Linked DNA regions of Sus scrofa. Each later gene encodes a partner of the first gene's protein in a complex. Links are inferred from orthologs where the notes say so. Each region holds a gene or a part of one and is shown in the gene's direction. Other genes may lie near its edges. The genes, in order: S100A10, ANXA2 and HLTF.

What was found.
Region 2: the proteins of S100A10 (region 1) and ANXA2 are in contact, whole or in part, in a crystal structure (PDB 4FTG), measured with the Homo sapiens proteins. The link is inferred for Sus scrofa from reciprocal best matches to the Homo sapiens genes S100A10 and ANXA2. Residues at the interface, in NP_002957.1 of Homo sapiens: Phe39, Gly41, Phe42, Asn45, Gln46, Ala51, Lys54, Ile55, Leu79, Ala82, Cys83, Tyr86, Phe87, Met91; in NP_001002857.1 of Homo sapiens: Val4, Glu6, Ile7, Leu8, Lys10, Leu11, Ser12, Leu13.
Region 3: the proteins of S100A10 (region 1) and HLTF are in contact, whole or in part, in a crystal structure (PDB 4HRE), measured with the Homo sapiens proteins. The link is inferred for Sus scrofa from reciprocal best matches to the Homo sapiens genes S100A10 and HLTF. Residues at the interface, in NP_002957.1 of Homo sapiens: Phe42, Asp58, Leu59, Asp60, Gln61, Gln70, Ser74, Leu75, Ala77, Gly78, Leu79, Ile81, Ala82, Tyr86; in NP_001305864.1 of Homo sapiens: Thr32, Phe33, Phe34, Pro35, Phe37, Phe39.

Annotation. Positions count from the first base shown.
Region 1 is NC_010446.5:97,265,910-97,273,368, forward strand, and holds S100A10 (protein S100-A10), read left to right. Parts: upstream 1-3,170; 5' UTR 3,171-3,191; coding exon 3,192-3,323; intron 3,324-6,184; coding exon 6,185-6,346; 3' UTR 6,347-6,384; downstream 6,385-7,459. UniProt on the Homo sapiens protein: Because S100A10 induces the dimerization of ANXA2/p36, it may function as a regulator of protein phosphorylation in that the ANXA2 monomer is the preferred target (in vitro) of tyrosine-specific kinase.
Region 2 is NC_010443.5:111,585,899-111,593,238, forward strand, and holds the start of ANXA2 (annexin A2), read left to right. Parts: upstream 1-2,822; 5' UTR 2,823-3,051; intron 3,052-3,325; exon of another isoform or gene 3,326-3,368; intron 3,369-7,340. UniProt on the Homo sapiens protein: Calcium-regulated membrane-binding protein whose affinity for calcium is greatly enhanced by anionic phospholipids. It binds two calcium ions with high affinity. May be involved in heat-stress response.
Region 3 is NC_010455.5:89,329,012-89,336,277, reverse strand, and holds the start of HLTF (helicase-like transcription factor), read left to right. Parts: upstream 1-3,263; 5' UTR 3,264-3,474; coding exon 3,475-3,494; intron 3,495-4,651; coding exon 4,652-4,859; intron 4,860-7,266. UniProt on the Homo sapiens protein: Has both helicase and E3 ubiquitin ligase activities. Possesses intrinsic ATP-dependent nucleosome-remodeling activity; This activity may be required for transcriptional activation or repression of specific target promoters.

The DNA of each region.
Region 1 (7,459 bases):
AGCGCTCACCTCCTCCCGAAGAGCTCTGAGCCTCAAGGGCTTCAGCCCAGACCTGGCTAATTACACCTCAACTCCAGCCAAAGGGATTGATTCATTCGTTGGTTCACTAACAAACACTGATTTAGTGGTTCATGGATAAAACAGAATAATTCACAGTTCTTAACTAGAGGAACCTAAATCTAAGACAGACAAGTCTGTAAATGACTAAATGGATGGAGTGTTTCAGGTGCAAGAGTAGGTTGTCTGGGGCACAGAGAGGATGCTGCTGCCTCCCAGCCCCAGACCCAAGGCTATCCAGTGGAAGTGTTTCTGAGCCAGAAACTAGAGTCCAACCCCTGTCCTGGAATGGAGCTCACCGGATGACTGGGTGGATGGAAATACCAGATTCAGGTCCCCGAACTGCTGTTTTATCAACCAGTGGTCAGTGCTGCTGCCACCATCCCAGCCTGAGCAAGGCCTGCCCAGGATGGGAGGGCTGAGCCGGCTGACTCAGTTGGGCGGCTGCCGCACTCTAGAAGAGCTGCACGATTTATCCACCAGCCGAGAGAGCAGTGTTAATGACATTTCCCCCTTTTCCTTCATCTTACTTTAAAACCAGTGTGTGGGATCTACACCACAGCTTGCAGCAATGCTGGATCCTTAACCCGCTGAGTGAGGCCAGAGAGTGAACCCAAGTCCTCATGGATGCAAGTCGGGTTCGTGAACCATTGAGCCATGACGGGAACTCCCCCTCTCCTCTGGTTTTCAAAACTATTTTCCTTTTCACGACCGTGGATCTTCTGATCAGCCCCTGTTCTGCCTTCTTATTGCAGACAGTCTTCCAGACAAACAGGGAGTCTTCTGGCTGCTGTGTGCACAGCCCATGTGCTGAGTATACAGCAAAGGGGATCCGGTGGGGCAGAAAAGCTCCAGCACTGGATAATGAGCACAGACTAGGAAGGGGTGGGTTTGGAGTGACCTGAGACCTGAGTGCTCCTCAGAGAAAACTGGTCTCAGTCTCTTGAAGAACATATTCAAGGGTGGCCAAGACTTCCTCAGCTTACAACCTTTATTTCTTAGAAGTTCCTAAATTAGCCTGTTTTCTATTTTAGGGGTCCTTAGCCTGCTGCCTTCCCTTTCTTACTTCTCTGGCTTTGCTGTGCATTTTCCTTCTGTTCTGCCCTGTGAAGAAAGTAAACTCGATATCCCACAGCCAGTTGGAGTTTCTGGGACCCTCAGGCATTGGTTGTGAAGGACTCTGCCACTTGAGCTAGAGGTATTTTTAAACCTCTGTGGTGGCTGACTGCTTTCCTAGTTATTCAGAACTGGGGTGGGACGCCACACAGCCTTCTCCCATAGGTGATTTATTCAGCTCAGATCTCTTAAGTTGCTGTACTTCCAGAGCCAATCTCGGCCACTGCCATCTGAAGCCCACTGCCATCTGAAGCCAGATCCTGACTGTGTCAGAAGAAAGGAGAAAAGGTGTGGTTCCCCTGGAATTCATCCCACAGTGGACCTTGAATTTTTTGCTCTCTCCAAGAGACCTGCCTGCCAGATGAATCATGCCAGATTCTGGTTTATAACATTCTCTAGAGTAGCACATTCTTTGGCATGCTGATTCCTGTACTTTTCTGGGGATTAAGGGGTAGAACTTTTGACATGTACTTGCTCAATCCTTGTGTTCACCAACTCCACCCTCTTCCCCCATAAAAGATAGTATTCAGGGATATGTTACACACGCATATGTCAGCAGCAGAAACCAGGCTGAAACCACGTCTCTGGTTCCTGTATCAACCCTTCAGGGGAAGATGCCAGACTTTCCTTCAACCTCTGTTCAAAACCTATTCTTATCTTTTTTTTTTCCCACGGTATATATTACAGTCTCTATTCAAGTTCATCTGTTTCTTATCCTGGAGTGATTTTAGGTGCTGTTAACTAAAGCTACTCTGTTCTGGCCAAAGCCTGCCTTCCAATTAAGCAAAATTCAGTGGGCTCCTGTTGGGTACCAAGTGTATGTCTTGATTAGACACATGTCCTCAGATTATTATACCTGAATATAACAATCTGACATCTCCTTTATCTTTTTATTTAATTAATTTATTTATTTAGGCCGCATCCCTGGCATATGGAAGCCCCCAGGCCAGGGATCAAACCCAAACTGCAGTAGTGGCAATGCCAGATCCTTAACCCACTGCACCACAAAAGAACTCCTTTCTTTAACTATTCACAATGAAAAGCTCTTGCTCTCCCACTGCACCCCAGACGGTGAGAGTAGGTCTTTTGTCTAGTGCTGCCAAGGATATATCAGATCCCCAAAGGAATTAGGATGGATATACTATTACCTGTTCTTTTTCAAGAAAGTAGATAATGGGCTTTGGGTAGCTTTATTTGAGGAGGGCAACTGCAACTCACTACCAAAGATGCAGATGTTTGTTAGAATCTATAGCAAGTTCAGAACTTTTAGTAAAGAATACATACTCAGCATATGAAAGTCATTTGTAAGCAGATTTCTTAAGCATAGACTTAAACTAAACTAAGTTACTTAATTCAGCTTTTGGAGAATTGAAGTTTTCGTATTAACCAAGCTTGACTGTGCGAGTTGTTGGTATTCAGCTATATCTGAGTCCCATTTACCGGTGCCAAGAGAAATGATGAAACATCTCTCAGTAGGAGCTTTGTCAGTTAAAAAGAGGGGCACTGATCTTGCTTTTCCAAATGATTAGAATTTTTATTCTTCATTGGGTGATTTGTGCAGTTAACAGGCAACTAGATCAATCCCTCCTTCAGAGCAGCAGTACCTAAAGTGCCTATTTCCATCAGCAGGAGACCCCAAACCTGGGATGAATTGGTCCTGATGTATTCATTGAATTTTACAGTTAAAAAGGATGGACTGGATGAGCAAATTGCCCTCTTCCAATCATTCTCAAAAGACTGGTAAATCATGTGGTTTAAAAGTTAATGTAGGAGTTCCCGCTGTGGTGCAATGGGATAAGCTGCATCTTGGGAGCTCTGGGATGTAGGTTCGTTCCTGGGCTTGGCACAGTAGGTTAAGGATCTGGTGTTGCCACAGCTGTGGCTTAGGTGGCAGCTATAGCTCAGATCTGATCCCTGGCCTGGGAACTCCATATACCACAGGGCAGCCAAAAAAGGGGGAAAAAATGTAAATTCTGTCGCTTCACATCCTTTAATAGGTTTCAACAGACCTCACGAAAATGCCGTCTCAAATGGAACATGCCATGGAAACCATGATGTTCACATTTCACAAATTTGCTGGGGATAAAGGCTACCTAACAAAGGAGGACCTGAGAGTACTCATGGAAAAGGAGTTCCCGGGATTTTTGGAAGTAAGTATTGAAAGGCTCAGAGAGAACCAGACATAGAAATCAGTGCTTCTGGGCCCTGGTTCCTGTCCCTTCCTCTTTCCAGCCCTTCCCGGGGGAAGTCAGTGCTAGAAAGGTGTTTTCATTCATTTATTGATTAAATATACTGAGTGCCTACTGTTTGTAAGACAGTGGGGTTGGAAACAGAAAGTAAAGAAGACACTGCCTCTGCCCTCAAGGAGCTTTCAGTTTGGAGGTGAAATGAGACTACACACAAATCACCACAGTTTGAGGTGTTAGAGCGACTTTATCTGGAGTCATCTGCCTCCATAGAGACAGAGTTGCAGGAAAAAAGGCCTTGCACCAGGGAGTAATCAACCAGGGTGCCTGGCTGTCCTCAGGCTGTCCTTTGAGCAGCTTGAATCTCCTTTCTTAAATCCCTTCAGATAAAGGCTTTAAAATTCTTTTTTCGAGCTCTACTATAAGGGAATGGTGTGAAATTTACTAAATGAGAGCCAGGCATTGCTCAAGAAATAACTGCTTTTCCCACTGAAAAGGCTGTGTGAACATAGGAGAACAGTTTGGGTTTATGCCTCACCTCTGACAGCCTGAGAGGGATCAGTGAAGGAAGAGGATCTCCCATCAGCTCAGATACATCATTCAGGACATCAGGCCACAAAGCACAGTAGTTCTTTTATACTGCAGGCCCTGGAGAGATGGTTACTGCATTTCACTGAAAGTGAAACATTGCCTAACAAAATAGTAGATTGAAATGCAAGCCCTTCTCTCGCTGCCACAGTCAGAGGTGCTTGAAGCATCACTGTGCTTGGTGTGGAATATTGCATTACCTCTAAAGGGTGGAGGGAGGTGATGGTTAAAGGCAGGGTCCTTTCTCTTGTCATCTGCCTGGTAAATGGCATTAGTCAAGCCTCTGACTCCTGACTCAGTAAACATAGGGTTTTGTAGTACATAATGATTCGCATGTCATCAGTACCAGTCAAACAGATATAAATAGCTTAACTAGCTTCTCAGAGCTGCAGTTACCACAATGCTCTCCCAGAATGAGTTCGAGGATACTGTTGCTCTGCTTTTGTTGAGTTCTGTGATATAGCCCCAGACCAGGAATTAGATGATCTGGCTCTGCCCGAACTAATATCAGGCAGGTTGCTTCAGTTTTCTGGGCCTCAGTTCCCTCCTCTGTAAAATGAGAGGGCTGGACGTGATTACCTCCAAGATCACTTTCACGTTCTGTGACCCTTCCAGGCAGGCATTAAATTCAAGGACAAAATGTGCTTATTGTAAAGCTTCCCACCACACAAACAAAGGCACTCTGGGTCTATTCCTAAATACTCAGGAGTTAGAAGCCAGGATGACCATCACATGAGACAAAGACCCTTCCTCCTAAAGGCTCTGTGGCTTGATAAATTCAAGTGTTCAGCAATGAGTACTAAACATGGCAGTTTAATTTATTCAAGGATGGGGTCATAATTCCAGGCACATCCACACTCGCTGCATTGACAGAGCATTATGTCATCCAGATTTCACTCCTTCTGATCTCAGCCAGGAAACTGGGGTCGAGGCCAGAATTAACTGAAACCCACCAAAAGCAGAGGCAGCTGTATAGACAGGTTGGAGTTGATTTCTTAGGGCATGTGGGAAATGCTGCTGCTTCACCTTAAGGGATTTCTGAGTGCAGTTTATAAACATCCAGCACACTGGAGACACTGAGTGTCTATTCCCTCCCTCACATATACGAGTCCGTGGAATTCATAAATACTTTACCTGAGCCCTTTAACACCGGTAAAGGGCCATATCTCCTTCTGGTTGACGGCATGGACCCTGCAGGAGAAACCACCCTTTCCCACTTCTAAGCACCATCACTACAGAAAGGAGCGATCAAGTCAATCACAATGAAAGCAGGATAAAAGAAAAAACAAAGGGGATCTTGCCTGTCCATCCCAGTTCCATGCACTGGCATTAAGAGTCATGGGGAGTTTAGGATTCCATTACATATATTGCTTTTGAAGTACATTCAATGTAAAAACATCCAGCAAAGAGTACAGGATGGCATAGACGGGCCAACGCATTAAGAATAGAAGCAATCTTAGAGACACTCTGGTCCTACTTCAATTCTTAGCTGTTATACAAAGGCCCACCAAAGCTATGTGACTTACTTAAGGTCACCTGGCTAATGTGATGTGAAGCCACACTAGGTTGGCCTCAGATGTGCCAAGAAATGAGGACCATCTGCCTACCCTCTTTAAACCTAACACGCCCCATGGTATCACAAGTGCCTCTTTAAAACCCATAGAACAATGATCTAAAACTTAACTCTCTAAATAATCACATGAGGTCTTTTATAAGGAGTTTTCTTTGTCAAGGACTTGATCATGCTATTGGAAATAAAAGTTTGTTAAGAGACTTTAAACTACAAAATAGGGAGTTTGGAGTACTGCTTAGGCAGAATCTTATTATTTTGAAAACTGTATTAACAATTGGACTATAAGGAAAGCAAATCAGAAGACTATGCTGGATTCTAAGAGGACTGAGAATTCAAAGTTGGGGGGGGTCTCCCTTCTCTGGCATTGAACCTCCTCTTTCTAGAAATATGCTGTTTCTAAAGTCCCTGAGTTATTTAAAAGAAAGCCATGAAACCCTCTCTCCTAGCCTGAAATAAATATGAATTTACAGAAATGCTCCCTCAAAGGGAAAACATACATTTAGATGACCTCCAAAAATCACTTATGACCTAAAGCAAGATTTCAAATCATTAGATTTTATATATAGTTGTCAGCCATACACATCACAAGAAGCTCATTGTTGCAACCACTGATTGATACTACTTGCCTCTGTTCTTTTTTTTTTTTTTTTTTTTTTTTTTTCAGAATCAAAAAGACCCTCTGGCTGTGGACAAAATAATGAAGGACCTGGACCAGTGCCGAGATGGGAAAGTGGGCTTCCAGAGCTTCTTTTCGCTAATCGCTGGGCTCACCATCGCATGCAATGACTATTTTGTTGTACACATGAAGCAGAAGGGAAAGAAGTAGGCAGCACTGAGCAATCATGCCGCCCTGATAAGAATTCTCACAAAGGGTCGCTTAAGGAATCTGCCCCCCCCCAGCTTCCCCCTGTATAAGGATTTCCTGAGCAGACTGGGACCCTTAGAAAGTGTACAAATAAAACCCAACTCTGCTTTGAGAAGCAGAGAAAGACAAGTCAATTAAACCCAGATAAGCTTTTGATTTTTATATTGCTTGCATCCTCTTACCCTCAATAAACAAATTTCCTTTTTTAGTTCTGAATTTGAAACAGAATGTTTGTTTGCTTCTTCAGAAATGCTTGTTTCCTGCTTTGTTTTACAAAGAGCCCCCATACCTTGGGCATCTAGCATGAGGCGGAGCTCTTTCCACAGACCCTGCAAACTGGGAGAGCACAGTCTACCAAGGCTTGCAGTCTAATCTCGAAATTGAGCTGCCTGCCCTGTAGCTGTGTCTAGCTGAAGGACAAAAATGCCAAGGATTAAGAGAAGGCACTTCAGGAATACGTTCCAACTTTATAATGACGGAGCATAGTCCTGCCTAGTTAAATCGGTGCCTTTCCAACCACCACTTTGTATGCCCGAGACATCTGAGTCCATTTTTCACAGCAAAGTTTCAGCAAACTCTAGGGTAAAAATAAGTCCAATAAGCCATAAAAAGGAGTGAAATAGTGCCATCTGCAGCAACATGGATGGACCTAGAGATAGTCGTCTTGGGTGAAGTAAGTCAGACAGAGAAAGACGGGTATTATGTGAGATCACTCATGTGTGGAGTCTAATAAAAAAAGACACAAAGAGACTTATTCGCAGGACAGAAACAGTCTCAGCGATTTCAAGACCAGACTTATGGTTATGCAAGAGGAAATGCTGGGTGGAGGGATGCATTGGGAGGCTGGGATTGGCATGTACACACAACTATATACAAAATCGATTGGTAACAGGGACCTGCTGTATAGCTTGGGGAAATCATTCAGTGCTCTGTGATGGCCTATATGGGGAAAGAATCTGAAAAGGAATGGATATATACATATGGGTGTGGCTGATTTGCTTTGGTGTACACCTGAAACTAACACAGCATTGTGGGTCACCTATACTCCAATAAAATTTATTTCAAAAAATATAA
Region 2 (7,340 bases), on another chromosome or scaffold:
CGAAATGAACCTCAGTAAGATTTATAGAAAACCTATAAAATGTTTTTTTCTTTTTTCAGCTACACCCGTGTTATATGGAGGTTCCCAGGCTAGGGGTTGATTTGGGCCACAGCCACAGCAATGCAGGATCCGAGCCACGTCTTCCATCTACACCACAGCTCATGGCAACACCAGATCCTTAACCCACTGTTCAAGGCCAGGGATTGAACCCACAACCTTCTGGTTCGTAGTTGGATTCGTTTCCGCTGCGCCATGATGGTAACTCCAAAATCCTACAAAATCTTAAGGATAATTGTATGAATGAATGAGCTGTCAGGTTGCCAGTTCAAAATGAAAAGACATTTCTGGACATTTGAGTTTCTACTGGCATGAAAGAGATTGAGAAAACTACTTAACTACAAATATGGACCATTCCTTAAGGAAAGCCATCTCAGAGAGTGGAGTCAAGAGTGGGGAGAAGCAAAGCCAAAAACTGATGAGATGATGCATTAAAACAAGAATTGGCAAACTAGGGCCCATAAAACCAATCCAGGCTGTTGTTGCATAAGCCCACATGCTAAGAGACCTGGCAACTTTAGCTTTTGTTTCTTGAGAGCCACCTGCCATTACTATCTGATGTAAAGAGGAAAACCTGGCAGATGAGTGTCCAAGGGACAGAGAGACCCAGCCTGCTCTCAGCCATTCCAGCAACCCCAGTGGAGGCACCAGCCCAGTGAGTGAAATTCCTTTCCATCGTACCACTTCAGCTGAGCTGCCCCACCCAACATCACGGAGTAGAGACAAGCTGTTCTGAGTCCTGTCCAAATTACAAAACCATGAGCAAATAAATGGTTGTTTATGTTTGAACCACTCAGTTTTGGTGATAATTGGTGGGACTGCGATAAGCAACTTGAGTGCACTGTTTAATCTCTGGACTAGGTAGGAGACATTATTTGGGCTCCAGTTTATTCATCTATACTAATCAAGGATTGGACAAAGTAGTGTCTTTTTTTTTTTTTTTTAATTGGCTTTAGCAATTTAATTGGCTGTTACTGGAGCAGATTTATTTATTTATTTAGCCACTCTTTCAGCATGTGGAAGTTCCAGGCCAGGGATCAAACCCATGCCACAGCAGTGACCCGAGCCACAACAGTGACAATGCTGGGTCTTTAACCTGCTGAGCCACCAGGGAACTCCAAGTTAGTGTCTTAAGGTCCCTCTCTACTCTAACATGCTATTTTTGGGTGAATAATTCCATTCTGTTATTCTGTAGTTTTTAGTAAGTGCCTATGCCTGCTAGCTAGGCACTATTAGTAGTGAGTGCAGCAGATAAAGTGTGAACAAAATAAAGTTAAGGCTTTAGAGGAGACCATGCACTATAGCAGACATAATCTGAGATCTGTTGTAGTAAACATTCTCCCAGCCATGGGGGGAAAAACAAGAAAGGAAAAAGGATCTTTGCACTCAGCCATTCAAAACTTCTTTTATAGAGGCAGAACTGGCCCCACATTGCTCATAAATAGCAAACTGTGACTTCTAACAGCTTCATTTTTCTGATAACAACAGTGTGACATTCTGTAGCATAAAGCAAACTCTGACTATTGAACAGATCTGTATGTTTGGATTTGCTGGATGCCCTAGATAAGCAAAAGCATTCTTTTGGATACTTGGCTTTTAGGTAGTCCACAGGATTTGAATTAAATCTTATCTTCTGTAGAGGGCCTATAACAGCACAACTAGGAGTCAGAGGCTGTGCAATCAGCCCTGAGAAGAGAAAGAGAGTCAGAATCTTGTCCACCATTATTATCATCCTGTGTTCGCCTTCTGTTCCAAAACGTTCAGGGAGTAGGCAGAAAAACACAATTTCTGGCTTAAAAGTTTTCAGTCTAAATTGAATAGCTCTGAATGTAAATCAGAAATTGTATGAACAGAGTTGCTTTCTTTTCTATTTGTCCTTCTGACAGTGCCAATCGTGTTTCATTCTGAGTGAAAGAAATGGGTTGGGTGAGCTCTGAGTTGAGTGTCCAGAGGCCCCGTTTATGGTCTGGATTTGACTTTGAGCTTGGGAACGATGTCTTGGCCTTACCATTTTCTGATTCCCAGGAGTGAAATGATACTGAAGAGTAAAAATGGACGGTAACATAGGTGGAAAATTAAAACACAGAAGCATCAAGACCAGCAGAGAGCTACGTGAGGTGTATGAAAGGAATTAAAAGGAGCCAAGGGCGATCTTTTGGATTCTTAGCATAACTTTCCCTCTAGTTTGAGGTTTGAATACAGTGTTTACGCAGTCATACACAAAACCATGTTTGTCTGCATGTTGCCGCTGCAGTTCGTGGAAAGAGCATGGAAGAAAATGAGAAACTGAACAAAACCAGGGAGCTTACTGAGAGGCTGAGAGGGAAACAAAATCAAACCAAACAAAAAAATGGCAGTTCGGAAAGAAGGAAGGGAGGAAACTTCTTTGTTGGAACTCGAGGTTCTAAACCATCGGCCCCACCCAGTCCAAGGCTGCCTGCCACGAGGACTCGCAGAGCAGAGCTGCTCCACACGGGAGGCTGAACGGTCCCGGGAAGCGTGGAGGGAAACGAAGGGCGCGCTCAGGCAAAGGGCGCCTCCCCGGCGGGGCGGGGGGGTGGTGGGTAAGAACTTGGCTCCGGGTCTGGGCCCCCTAACGCGCCACCCAGCTCCCACCGTAGTTCCACGCCTCGCAGCGCGCTCGGAGGCGGGGGCGGACCAATCGTTTGCCCGCCGGGACCGTGTGGACCGTCCCCCCCCACCCCCACCCGCCGCGCCTCCGCGCGCTCCTCCCAGGAACTGTCGGTCAGAGGTTAAGCTAATATGTGTGCTGTCGGTAACCGGGAGCTGAATGCCAACGGCTCAGCTCGGGGGAATCACGATTTATGTTTCTTGGCACAATTCTTCCTTCCATTGCATTGACGCCTTAAAAAAAAGTGACATAGCCAAGCTCAGAGTCGGCTCAAGTCTTGCCAATTTATAAATTGAGCCGGGGCTGAGAACTCGACGTGGCGCTCCAGAAGTAAAAGAGGAAGGGAGGAAGAAACGAAGCCGGTACTGGGCCTCAAGGAAGCCTCGGCGGCGCTTTACCGGAGGGCAGCGCCGTGGGCGCGGGGCCGCTCCCACTGGCGCGGCCCGGGGAACGTTACAGGGCGAGGCGGACCCTGCGGGCGGCGGCGGGCGGGCTGGGTAGGGTGAGTCACCCCGACTCCCGACTCCGGGTGCGAATGGGCCAGGGCAGGGGAAGGCGGGGCGGGGCGGGGCGAGGCGGGCCTCGGCGGGGAGGATGTGGTGGCTATAAAAGCCCCACCCAGGTCAGGCAGCTCCGCTCTGCATCTGGGGACGCTCGCAGCGCTCGGCGCCTGGCCCAGGTAAGCGGGGCGCCTCGTCCGCCCGCTATGGCCCTGGGGCCACCGCGCTAGCGGGGCGCAGAGAGGCGGGGAAGGAGACGGCCTTGCAAAGAGAAGCTCCAGTGGTGGGGACCCCGAGGCTGTCTGGGGAGAGGGCTGGAGAGTCCGTCCGCACCAGGGGCTCTCTGGGGAGGGGGCATAGTGGGGATCTGGACTGGAGTGAGGGGGGGCCAGGTGCGCCCCAGCCTGGGGAGTGCAGGGCAGAAGAAGGGGGTTGGGCATCCCATCCCCGAAGTGCTCGCAGGAAGCCCGGAGAAGTGGCGCCGAGAGAGGAGCGGGGGGCGGGGGGCGGGGGGAGGCCCCGCATTCCAGACGGGCCAGACGCGGCGGGGGGCAGGGTGTGGCCGCCCTGGAGCCCCGGGTCTGGTGGAGAGCAGACTTACGGCACCCTCCACGCGTTACACGACCCTCTAGAAAGAAATCCCCACCTGTTCCAAGTTACTTTACTTGAAACAGAGGCGCATTTATGGAACTTGTGCCGACTAGTAGAAGGGAAGCAGTGAGGGGAGGATAAGGGGTGGGAGCTGTTAGCAGCGGCCCCCTGCTCCAGTCAAACAAAACAGAATGAAGAAACCTCATTCTCCTTTGTCTAGATTATCTTGTAAGAGCAACTTCTGATTTCCGTGTATCCTTCCCTACTTGGTTGACCACTTTTGCATCGGGAAGGAAGTGTCCCCCAACCCCGGGGTTCTGTGGGGAGGGTTGTCACTGACTGACTTGCACTGATGCAGCAGTGAGTCAGGGACGGAAGGTACAGAAAAGGGCGTGGCCCCTCAGGCCGCTGCTTGGGAGTTCTGTGAGGACGCCAATTCCTACCTTCCTCATAGGGTTGTCATGAAGATTTCAAAAAACACGTTCATTCAAAAATAAATATGTAAAGCACACTGAAAACATTAGGTGCCATACAACACAAAGTGTCCTTATTTTTGTGTTAAGATTTGCCATTTTAAAGTTATTTAAAGGTATTCTCCATCTGTGTACAGAAGAGCAGTAACCTCATGGGTACGTATTGGGTCTTTACCAAGAACCATAGTGTTCTGGAGTCCAGGATTCTGTTCCCCGACACTCAGAGAACTCTACTAGTGGGTTCTATCCAAAAGTGTGCCTAACTGTGCTTGTCTGGAACTTGGTTATTTGGGATGCCGATTTCACTTTCCCACTGAAGCAATGTTATGGAAGGCGCTTAATTTGTCAGACTAGCCCAGAGACCCTGTGTGCACTGAATCAAAAATACTGATAATATATGTGGAATTTGGGAGGTGGGCTGTTGGGGAGCGAAGGGAAAGTGAAAGGGTAGGTTAGGGAGGATATGGAGATAAAAAGAATAAATCACTGAAACATTTCACTGGAACTTTTTCTTCATTTTAAGCTTGACCCTTATTAAATTATTTTAATTGTAAAATTATATCTTTGTCACCCTCCCCACTTTTGTCTCTCTTCCTCCTGATTCTTTGAAGACCCACGCCCCTGCCAAATGGCAAAAGCCCATCCCTGCTTATCCAGTTCTGCATTCCCCTCCTTGTATATCTAGCTAGAGACTAGCAGATTGAATCCATATTCATTAATATTCAATACTAGGAATGGCTGGTGGTCCTAAAATGCCCAGCATCCTAGGGGAGTTGTATTATTTAAAAAAAAACAAAACTTTTTAAACATAAACATCTGTAATTTATAGGATTTGAGGCTATGGAATTAAGGAGCCACATAATAGACAATGTGAAGGGAGATTTTAGATGAGGTCCATTTGAGGGTCCTTTGTGGTCAGTGGTGTTAAGACCATCTCGCAAAGCACTCTCTTCTCTTCTAGCTCCATCTTTTACCTCAAAGCTTCATCAAGGCTTTCTCCAGAAGTTTACAGTGCATCTACAGTGGAAGGGTGTGACCATCAGTGTAAATTTTTTTAGTTGAAGGTTTATGATTTGGGGACCACCTGGATTTTGTGATTTCCTTCAGTGCCAAATGGCTTGCCTGCTGTAAATGCACAGGAAATACTGCTGCCTTACTGGTTTTGATCAGGAGCTTGGTTTTGGACTAGAGTCTCAATATTTAACATCCGTGTCTTTGAGCTATTAAAGTACTGTATCGATTAACGTCCTGGGCGGTCGTGGCCATTAGTTTCCTGACTAATTTCTAATTTAAGTAGTTTTCCTGGCAAGGTAGGTATCTGTCTGTAATTGCTATTGATTTTGAGGGCTGTAGGCTCTTCCTGCACTGTTGGGCCTGGAATCTGGTCTTGATCTTTGCTTGTGTGGGCCTGCTGAAGTGTTTCTCACTAACTGAAGGTGGGTGTGTCACAGAAAAGTCTCAGGCTCTCCTGAGCTGCTTCAAACATCTGTTCATTCAATAATGTTTATTATACCATGTTGTATTCACAGGTAGAAGCACTGGGGATACACCAGTGACCAAAATAGAACAAAAACAAAGAAAATCTCTGCTCTTTAGACTTTAAATCTAGTGGGGAGAAAAATATTAGAGACAAAAATGAGTGAGATGCATAGACAGTCAGTGAATTGTGAACTTGGCCCTTTCCCCACTTAATATTGGTTTCCAGATTTGGTTGGGACTCATTTTCCCTTTAATCCAGCTGTCCCACAGACCTGAGCATCATATTTAACCTGCTTTAGGGAAGGTGTGGTTTAAAGTTATCATGACTTAGCCTGCCTTCCAGATTTGTGAGACTAGAAATGAAATGCTCTTTTTTTTCTCTTGCATGTGGGAATCCACCTCCCTCATAGTCCCTGGTGCCACACCCTGTTCTGGCTGTAGGCTCCATCAGAGGAAATTCCTGTCCTTTAAAAATTTTTTTTTCCGCTCATTCACTGTCGGCTGTATTTTTCCTCCTCCAGTTGCCAGAGGCGGTCCCCAGCTACTTGGTTGGGGCACAGTCGGGGTCAGAAGATGACCAGGCCTGTTCTTCTGTGCGGTTCCACTGAGATTACCTCCAAATCTCTCTCCCAGGGAGCACTCTGAAGCTTTTAACCCCCCTGAGCTCTGTCCTATCAGAAGACGGTGTAGCATTCAAGTGGTCTGAGTTAATACTCCCCAGGCTTGGTGTGGAAAGTTCTGACTCCAGGGAGCAGCTGTCCCATGGAATCCTTGCCCTTTGTCTCTCTGCCACACCCAGTCTCCACACTCCCAGTTCAGAGGAAATCAGAGTCCCAAGGCCACTTGCAAACCCTTCCTCCTTGCCCCTCCTTCTCTGCCTTCCTTACTGAAGATGTGGGTAACATTTCCACATTGTCTTGTGGACAGAGCTGGACCTAGGGGACCCCGGTGGTAAAGAGGGGGGTGTTGGGCAGGGTGTGTGAGGGGAGGTGAGCCACATGTGATGAGATGGAGGCGGTACCCGGAATTGATCTACCAGGCTTTACAGAGATTGGAACCTCCGAGCCTGGGAACTTAAGCCTCAGCTCTGAACATATGGAACCAGACCTGCACTTGAGATATTCTGAGGAAAAGAAAGAATTGAGGAGGAGTGTATTAGAAAAGGGGGGGGAGAGACAATTCAGAAAGATCCAGTGTGTGTAAACCATCCAGAAATGTGAGTACAAAACGCTTACACTGCAAGGCATGGCTCAGACCTATGAGGAAACGGGAATGAGTAAGACAGAAACCCCGTGGGAGGATAGAGTGGAAGAATGCCTTTGTACACTGAGCTCTGATATTTCACAGACACAGCAAGGGAGACAGGAGTGCAGGGCAGGGAGAGGGGCAGGAGAAAGGTAACAGTGTGTTTTGTATCCTGAAGTCTCATGAGAATGTCAGCTGATCCAGATTGAGTGCTCCCAGTGGAGGGAACTTGGAGAGCCTGGGCCTGAGGTTGTAAGACAGCACTGAGTGTGTTGGAGAATTACCAGGCAAGAGTCTGACTTTGGTTCGTGCACGTGTGTGCGTGTGTGTTTGCACACGCTTTATTTATGAAAGAATAAGTAG
Region 3 (7,266 bases), on another chromosome or scaffold:
TACCCTTGGGCCCCTTAACAGAGCTACTACATTAGCTTTTATTTCTTTACTGGCCTGGCACATCTGATCTCTCTAAGATCTGTAGATGCTTGAGGCTACTCTCTGGTAAATGACGCACAGTTTCCTTTTCTCAGAGGACCTCCAGAAACTTTGCTAGGCAGTCTATCACCCCTCCTTCTGTGATGCTTGGTCCAGGGTGATGGCATTCAAGGCCCTTTGCCTAAGACCCACTTAGAGATTTGCTTTGTGAACTCTCCTATGCCATTCCCCCAAATTCTCCTCTTCCACTGAACTTTTTCTCTATCTCCTTTTGGGAGAATGAAGAGGAAAACACAAGTTCTTACATCATATATTCTTCTGGAATCTATTAGCTATGACATAAACTTGGAAGTTTTTGTATTGAAGCCAGATGTTTGGAAACTCAGGTTGTTTTCTTTTCTTTCTGTCTTTTTAGGGCTGCACCCTTGGCACACGGAAGTTCCCAGGCTAGGGGTCAAATTGGAGCTGAAGCCACCAGCCACAGCCATAGCTACAGTAACTCGGGATCTGAGGTCCGTCTTTGAGCTACACCACAGCTCACAACAATGCTGATCCTTAACTCATGGAGTGAGGCCAGGGATCAAGCCCACATCCTCATGGATCCTATTCAGGTTGGTTACTGCTGAGCCATAACAGGAACTCTTGATTTGTTATTACTTTCTTTGGGTGTGAGAATGTCCTTATGGTTATGCATATGAAGGCCATTATAGGCAGGGTGTGTTGGGAAGTGACAGGGGTGAGAAGTAGGGGACAGATTATAAAAAGCCACACATGAGAGTTCCTGTTGTGTCTCAGGCGGCTACAAACCCGACAAGTATCCATGAGGATTCAGGTTCGATCCCTGGCCTCACTCAGTGGGTTAAGGATCTGGTGTTGCTATGGATGTGGTGTAGGCTGGAAGCTGCAGCTCTGATTCGACCCCTAGGCTGGGAATGTCCATATGCTGCAGTTGTGGCCCTAAAAAGACAAAAAAAAAGGGGGGGGGCACACATGCCATTCTTTGACTTCATGCTCATAGCATCAAACAGGGAAGGGACATGTTTAATTTGCATAAAGTGGAAGAGAGGATGAGAAAGCATGTTTGTGACTAGGAGGTGGGTAGCTGGAGGAATTTTTTACTCTTTCCCCTTCCTCAGCACCCATATCCAAATCCATTAGCAAACCCTTTGGTTTGTCTTAGTTTCATCACCTCCCCATTCCACGCTATCATCATTTCTCTCCTGGACACAATCATTTCCTGATTATCAACTAACCAGTCTCTCTGTTTCTGTTTTTGTTCCCATTTTCCACAGAGCTGCCAGAGTGAATTTTTTAAAGCCTATTTTTAGATTTGTCATTCTCCTGCTAAAAACATTTAGTGACTTTCTATTGCATTTAAAATAAAACTCTATCATAGACTATAAATTTGTATGTTATCTGGCCCTTATCTTCTTTGCTGTCCTCTTTGTGACAATCTCCTCCTTATCCATCAGTCCAACACACAAGACATTGTCCAATTCTCTTTTTTCAGTTATAAATGTTCATTTTTCAGAAAACATTATCTGGTGTGATAGTTCTGAATTTGTAAGTGTTGTGACATTTTAATCAAACTAGTACAAATTACCCTTTTTTAAAACTAAAAATAATAAAGAATGATTAAGTGAAAGTGTTCAAGTAAGTTCAGCTGCTAGGTCTGAGATGTAAAATAGTGACAATATAAACACAAACGTTGACTTTAAATAGGTGTTTTTACTGCATTCAATCCATATTCTTTACCTGTGGGATGGCCTTTCCTAACAGGTGTCAAGTCTTGAATGAGTAAGGTTTACCTATATTGGTACATTTGCAATTTTATCTTTCAGTCTGACGAACATAATTTATTAACTTTACACATAAATCATTTTCAATTTAGGCATTTACTGCCGTATTTTCCAATAGATCGGTTATTTAGATCTGGCACATCAAAAACTGAACAATATTGCCTTTTGCCTCATACTACTTCCAGAAGAAAGTAAAATAACTAAAATAATTTGAAATGCCATTCTCTTCATCTTCCTTCTATTTAGTGAAATGAATAAGTTGCTGCAAGTTTCTTTTCTCATTCTACTGTAGGTTCATATTTACAGATTGTGATAGTTTAAGTTAATCAACAAATGCCTCTTGAAAAACTGTTTCATTGACTGCCTGTCATACCCTGCTGATGGACGTGTAAAATGGACCACTCTTCGAAGGGCACGGGTCAACACTAACCCCTTTCTCAAATACATTTCCTCTTTGGTCCACAAGCAGTTGTGTTACAGTTATATCAAGTCCAAAGCACAGGTCAGGGCCACCACCAGCTTGTTACCCTAGGGCTGCTGCTGCACAAGTTAAAAGGCTCCCAGGGGACAGAGAACCAGCCCTGACAGCGCCTGCGCTGCAGCCGGCCCACTCGCCCACCCACTCAAAGCCGAATTCTCCTGAGTCTCCTCAGACTCTCAAAAGAGGGCGACAGAGCCCTTGGGAGTGCCCCCTACAGTTCCCCACGGAAAACCAACTTCTTCCTGCCCCGCAGGGACAGCAGCTTACCCCCAGGGGAAACTTGGCCACTTCCAGCAGTCACCAATAAAGCTCTTGTGCTGTCATCTCATTTTATGGCTTTCCTCTAGTAGAATGAAAAATTTCTCTTAAAAAAGAGGTGGGGGGTAGGGACTCCATAAATCGAAACTGCAATTATGCTCTCTGAGGCCGGTCTGTCTCATTGGTTAGCTAGCGGGGTTTAAAATGCACATTTTAAGGGCAACTACACGGGTTCACCACAGAAGATGAAGGACAGGATCTCGTTGGTAGCTCCAGGGCTCTTAAAGCCGGGAGCTTATTCAGTGGAATACCCTACTATATGTCACATCAGATGAAGAGAAAATTCGAGGTAGGCTGAGGTAGAGCCTGAAGAATGGGGCTGAGGCTTAGGGCTTGAGGGAAACAGTGCAAAAGACAGTGGTCGCCCTCTGCTTGAGGCGGGGAATCAATCAGAAACGCGAACACCGTAAGCACCGTAGTCCGCCTGCTGGGGCCGCGTGGCTTTCCCGCGCGACTAGCTTGGGGTTGAGGGAGAACCCGGATGGAACCGCCCCTGCAGCGGGGACAGCCCCCCAAGTCTTTGAATCGCTGCGCGGGGCGGAGCTGCCCACCCCTCCGTGCCCTGATTGGTTCGTCTGCGTAAACTCCTCCTCGGGATTGGAGGTAGGCGGTGCCAGTCACAAAGCGTCACTTGTCTCTCAGATTGTTGCTGGAAGGGGTCGGCGTCGACGTCTGACTAGGCTCCCGGCGTCTCACCTTTCTGGAGTGCGCTCTTGCTCGCGGCTCTAGAAACCTGTCCCCGGCTTCTCGGCCGCGGGCCCTGGAAGGAGACTTATCGAGGCCGCTCGAGAACGATCCCGGGCGCCCAAGCGTTCCCCTCGTCACCCACCCAGCGCCATGTCCTGGATGTTTAAGAGGTGAAGGGGGCGGAGGGGGTTGGGCACCGGGGGTAACGGCCTGGCGGCGTCCCTAGATGAACCTGACCTTCCCCGCGTTTCCTTCGCGTTACCCGTGCGAGCTGTGCAGCCAGTGTTCGTCCTGCTGGCGGCTTTTAATAGCTGCGGGAGAAAGAAATGCACAGTTTTGACTGGCGAGGGGAGGCTCCTCAGGCGAATCTCATGCCAGGGCTTGGGGAAATTTCTGTCAAGGGCTGTAAGGGGGCCTGGCTCAAAGCCACACTCTTAGGCCGGGATTGTGACCTGCAAGACACTCATCAGATACCCACTGTGCCCTCGGCATTGTGCTCGGCAGAAAGGGCCGGATAAGACAGCCCGTATCCTCAAGGAGCTCACCGTTGATGTGCGTGCACAGACGTGCAAATATCTATCTGCAGGGGAGCCAGAAGCAGTATGCGCGACGTGCAAGCCAAGCGCTGGGGAAATAGCGTCAGTCCGTTCTTAGGATAATAGAAGCTTCCTGAAAGCCCCCTCTCCGGCTTCCTCTCTTCATTGTCCAAATTGGGTTACATACCCGTTCCAGAAACAGCTCTCCAATTATCTATGGGGGAATTGAGGTTACCCTTAAACCAAGGGAGGGGAGGCTTGATGTCAGCTTCCCATTGTGACATGGTTTGGATACCTGAATAAAATGCGGGGTCTCTTCGAGGAGAATTCACGTAATGGATGTTGGATGTATTACTTGTAAAGTTATAAATGGCTTCATGTATAGATAGTCCTTTATTTGCAAGTCTCTTCCAGCTCATTCTCTATTGAAATTTTGGCATATAATTATTTGCAGACATCACACACATTTTACTTTAAATAGGTGATCATCACTAGGAAAGAGGTTTGTGAACCCTTATTGGGGTTTTCACTTTGAGTACCTGTGGGCAGAAGAGACATTATTGAACAGGTAGGTAGGGTTTCTAGAAACCTGTACTCACTTTAATCCCTGCTTTAACCAGAGGAACTATATATATTAATCTTCATATAGCCCTTCCCACATGAGATTTAATTTTTTGAAATGAAGTGTGAGAAAACAATTGGCCTTTAAGTGTGGTATAGTCTTTGAGAAATATTTGGTTAAATATTGTATTGTTTTCCTGTTTTTTGTTTTTGTTTTGTTTTGTTTTAAGAGATCCTGTTTGGAAGTACTTGCAAACTGTCCAGTATGGAGTCCATGGAAATTTTCCACGCCTCTCATATCCAACTTTCTTTCCACGTTTTGAATTCCAAGATATTATTCCTCCAGATGACTTCCTAACGAGTGATGAAGAGCTAGATTCAGTTTTATTTGGTACTTTGAGAGGTCATGTAGTTGGACTACGCTATTACACAGGAGTAGTGAGTATAATATTAGATACTAAGTTTATATGATGTCATCTATTAATGTAGAAAATAAGAGTGAGAAGGTGATATGTGCAGTAAATATCTTAATTTAAGTAATTGAAATATATCTAGGGAAGAGATAACAAATACCTAATTACTTACATTCTTTTACATTTATATCATGGTCACAATATACAAAGCACTGTTTCCTGTATGGTCTCATTTGATCACTAGAGTGTCTCTGAGGTAGTAGGACATCTATTATCCCTTTCTAGAACTGAGTAAAGGTAGCTCAGGATGGTTAAATGATTTGCATAGAAAGTACAGATACTATGTGGTAAATTTGCAAAATAACTTCCAAGTCTCTTGCTTTCTCCTTTCCTATCCTTCAGCACATTTTTACATTTTAGTATTTTTAATGTAGGAAGTACTAGACAAGAGAATTGTCTACTTTTAGGTCTTTTTTTCCTTTCTATAGTAAAACTATTTCCAATTTTTCTTCCTGCGTTTATGTTTCTGTATCTCTGTTTTCTGCTCTGTGTATGTGAGAGAGAGAAAACAGAGACAAAGAGAAAGCAGTTGTCTTTGTTATGGTTGTCTAGTATGCTCTGTGTTATTTGGATGATATATCTACTTTTATTTTTATTTATTTATTTATTTATTTATTCGTCTTTTAGGGCACCTGCAGCATATGGTGGTTCCAGGCTAGGGGTCGAATGAGAGTTGTAGCTGCTGGCCTACTACACAGCCACAGCAAAGCCCAGATCGGAGCCACGTCTGCGACCTATGCCACAGTTCACAGCAGCGCCAGATCCTTAACCCACTGAATGAGGCTAGGGACTGAACCCGCAACCTCATGGTTCCTAGTCAGATTCATTTCCAGTGCACCACAACGAGAACTCCTACTTTTTTTTTTTAATTATGAAAAATTTCAAACATGCATAGAATTAGAATGATACAATGAATTTTCATATACTTATGATCCATATTCAGCAGTTAGACAAGTTTTTTGCACATTTGCTCATCACTTTCTTTTTCTTTGGTACTAAAAATTCCAGCTGCATCACTTTACAACATTTAAGTGTGTACCTAAAAAATTTAGAAATTTTCTTTCTCATTGTTATATTTAACAAAATAATACTAGTTTCTATTACACCTAATAACTAATCCATAATAACTTATCTTGATTGTTTACAAATGCCTTTTTATAATTAATTTTTTAAAAATCAGAACCAAAACAAGTTAATATCCCTTTGGTTGTTATGTTTCATAAGTCACCCTTTGTTTCACGTCATTGATTTATTGCAGAAACTGCATGTGTTGTTCTATGGGAAGTTGGACTTGTTAGTTCTTCTATTCCTCAATATTTTTCTTATGTTTAAGCTTCTCAAATCATTTTTTGATTGTCTGAAGCATGTTTTGAAGGAGACACCTTGCGAAAGAATTCTATGATCTAGATTTGTTTAGTGTTTTATTTTCCCATATTTTCTTTATAGTACTGCATTTCTCAGATTATTTTGTAATTGTCTGAAATGTGCTGAAATGTGGTGTCTAGGACATCCTTAGGAAGGAACACCATTTCCTGATTTTTTTAAATGTTCATAATTGGGATATTTATGCTTCAAGGGCAGTTAGGTTGAATATAAAATCCTTGACCCATGTTTTTTTCTCCATGATATCTTTTTTTTTTTGGTCTTTTTTGGGCTGCACCCATGGCATATGGAGGTTCCCAGGCTAAGGGTCATATCAGAGCTGTAGCCACTGGCCTATACCACAGCCACAGCAATGCTAGATCCAAGCCACATCTGCGACCTATACCACAGCTCACAGCAATGCCAGATCCTTTGCAGGGCCAGGGATCAAACCTGCATCCTCATGGATGCTAATCAGATTTGTTTCCCCTGAGCTACAATGGGAACTCCATCTCCATGATATGTTGATATTGTATAAAATATTGCTGGTGAAAATTCTGATGCCAATGTGATTCTCTCCTACATAAGTGAATCGGACTTACCTTGCTTGGATAACTGAAGATTATTTCGCTTATGTTGAAAGTCCAGTAGTTTCATTTGGTGATGTCTTAGTGTTGACTGTTCTGTAACTTAATTTTCTTCTATTTCAGAATTTAAAAATATAGTTGATTTACAGTATTGTGCCACTTTCTTCTGTGCAGCAAAGCAACTCAGTCATATGTGTATATACATTCTTTTTTAATATTCTTTTCCTTCATGGTCTATTCCAGGAGAATGGATATAGTTCTGTGTGCTATACAGTAGGACCTTTTTGTTTATTTCTTTCATATATATAGATAGATAGATAGAAGGGATTGAACTGGCATCCTCATGGATACTAGTCAAGTTTGTTGCCACTGAGCCGCAATGGGAACTCCCTGGGGTATTTTTTTTTTTTTTTTTTTTTTTTG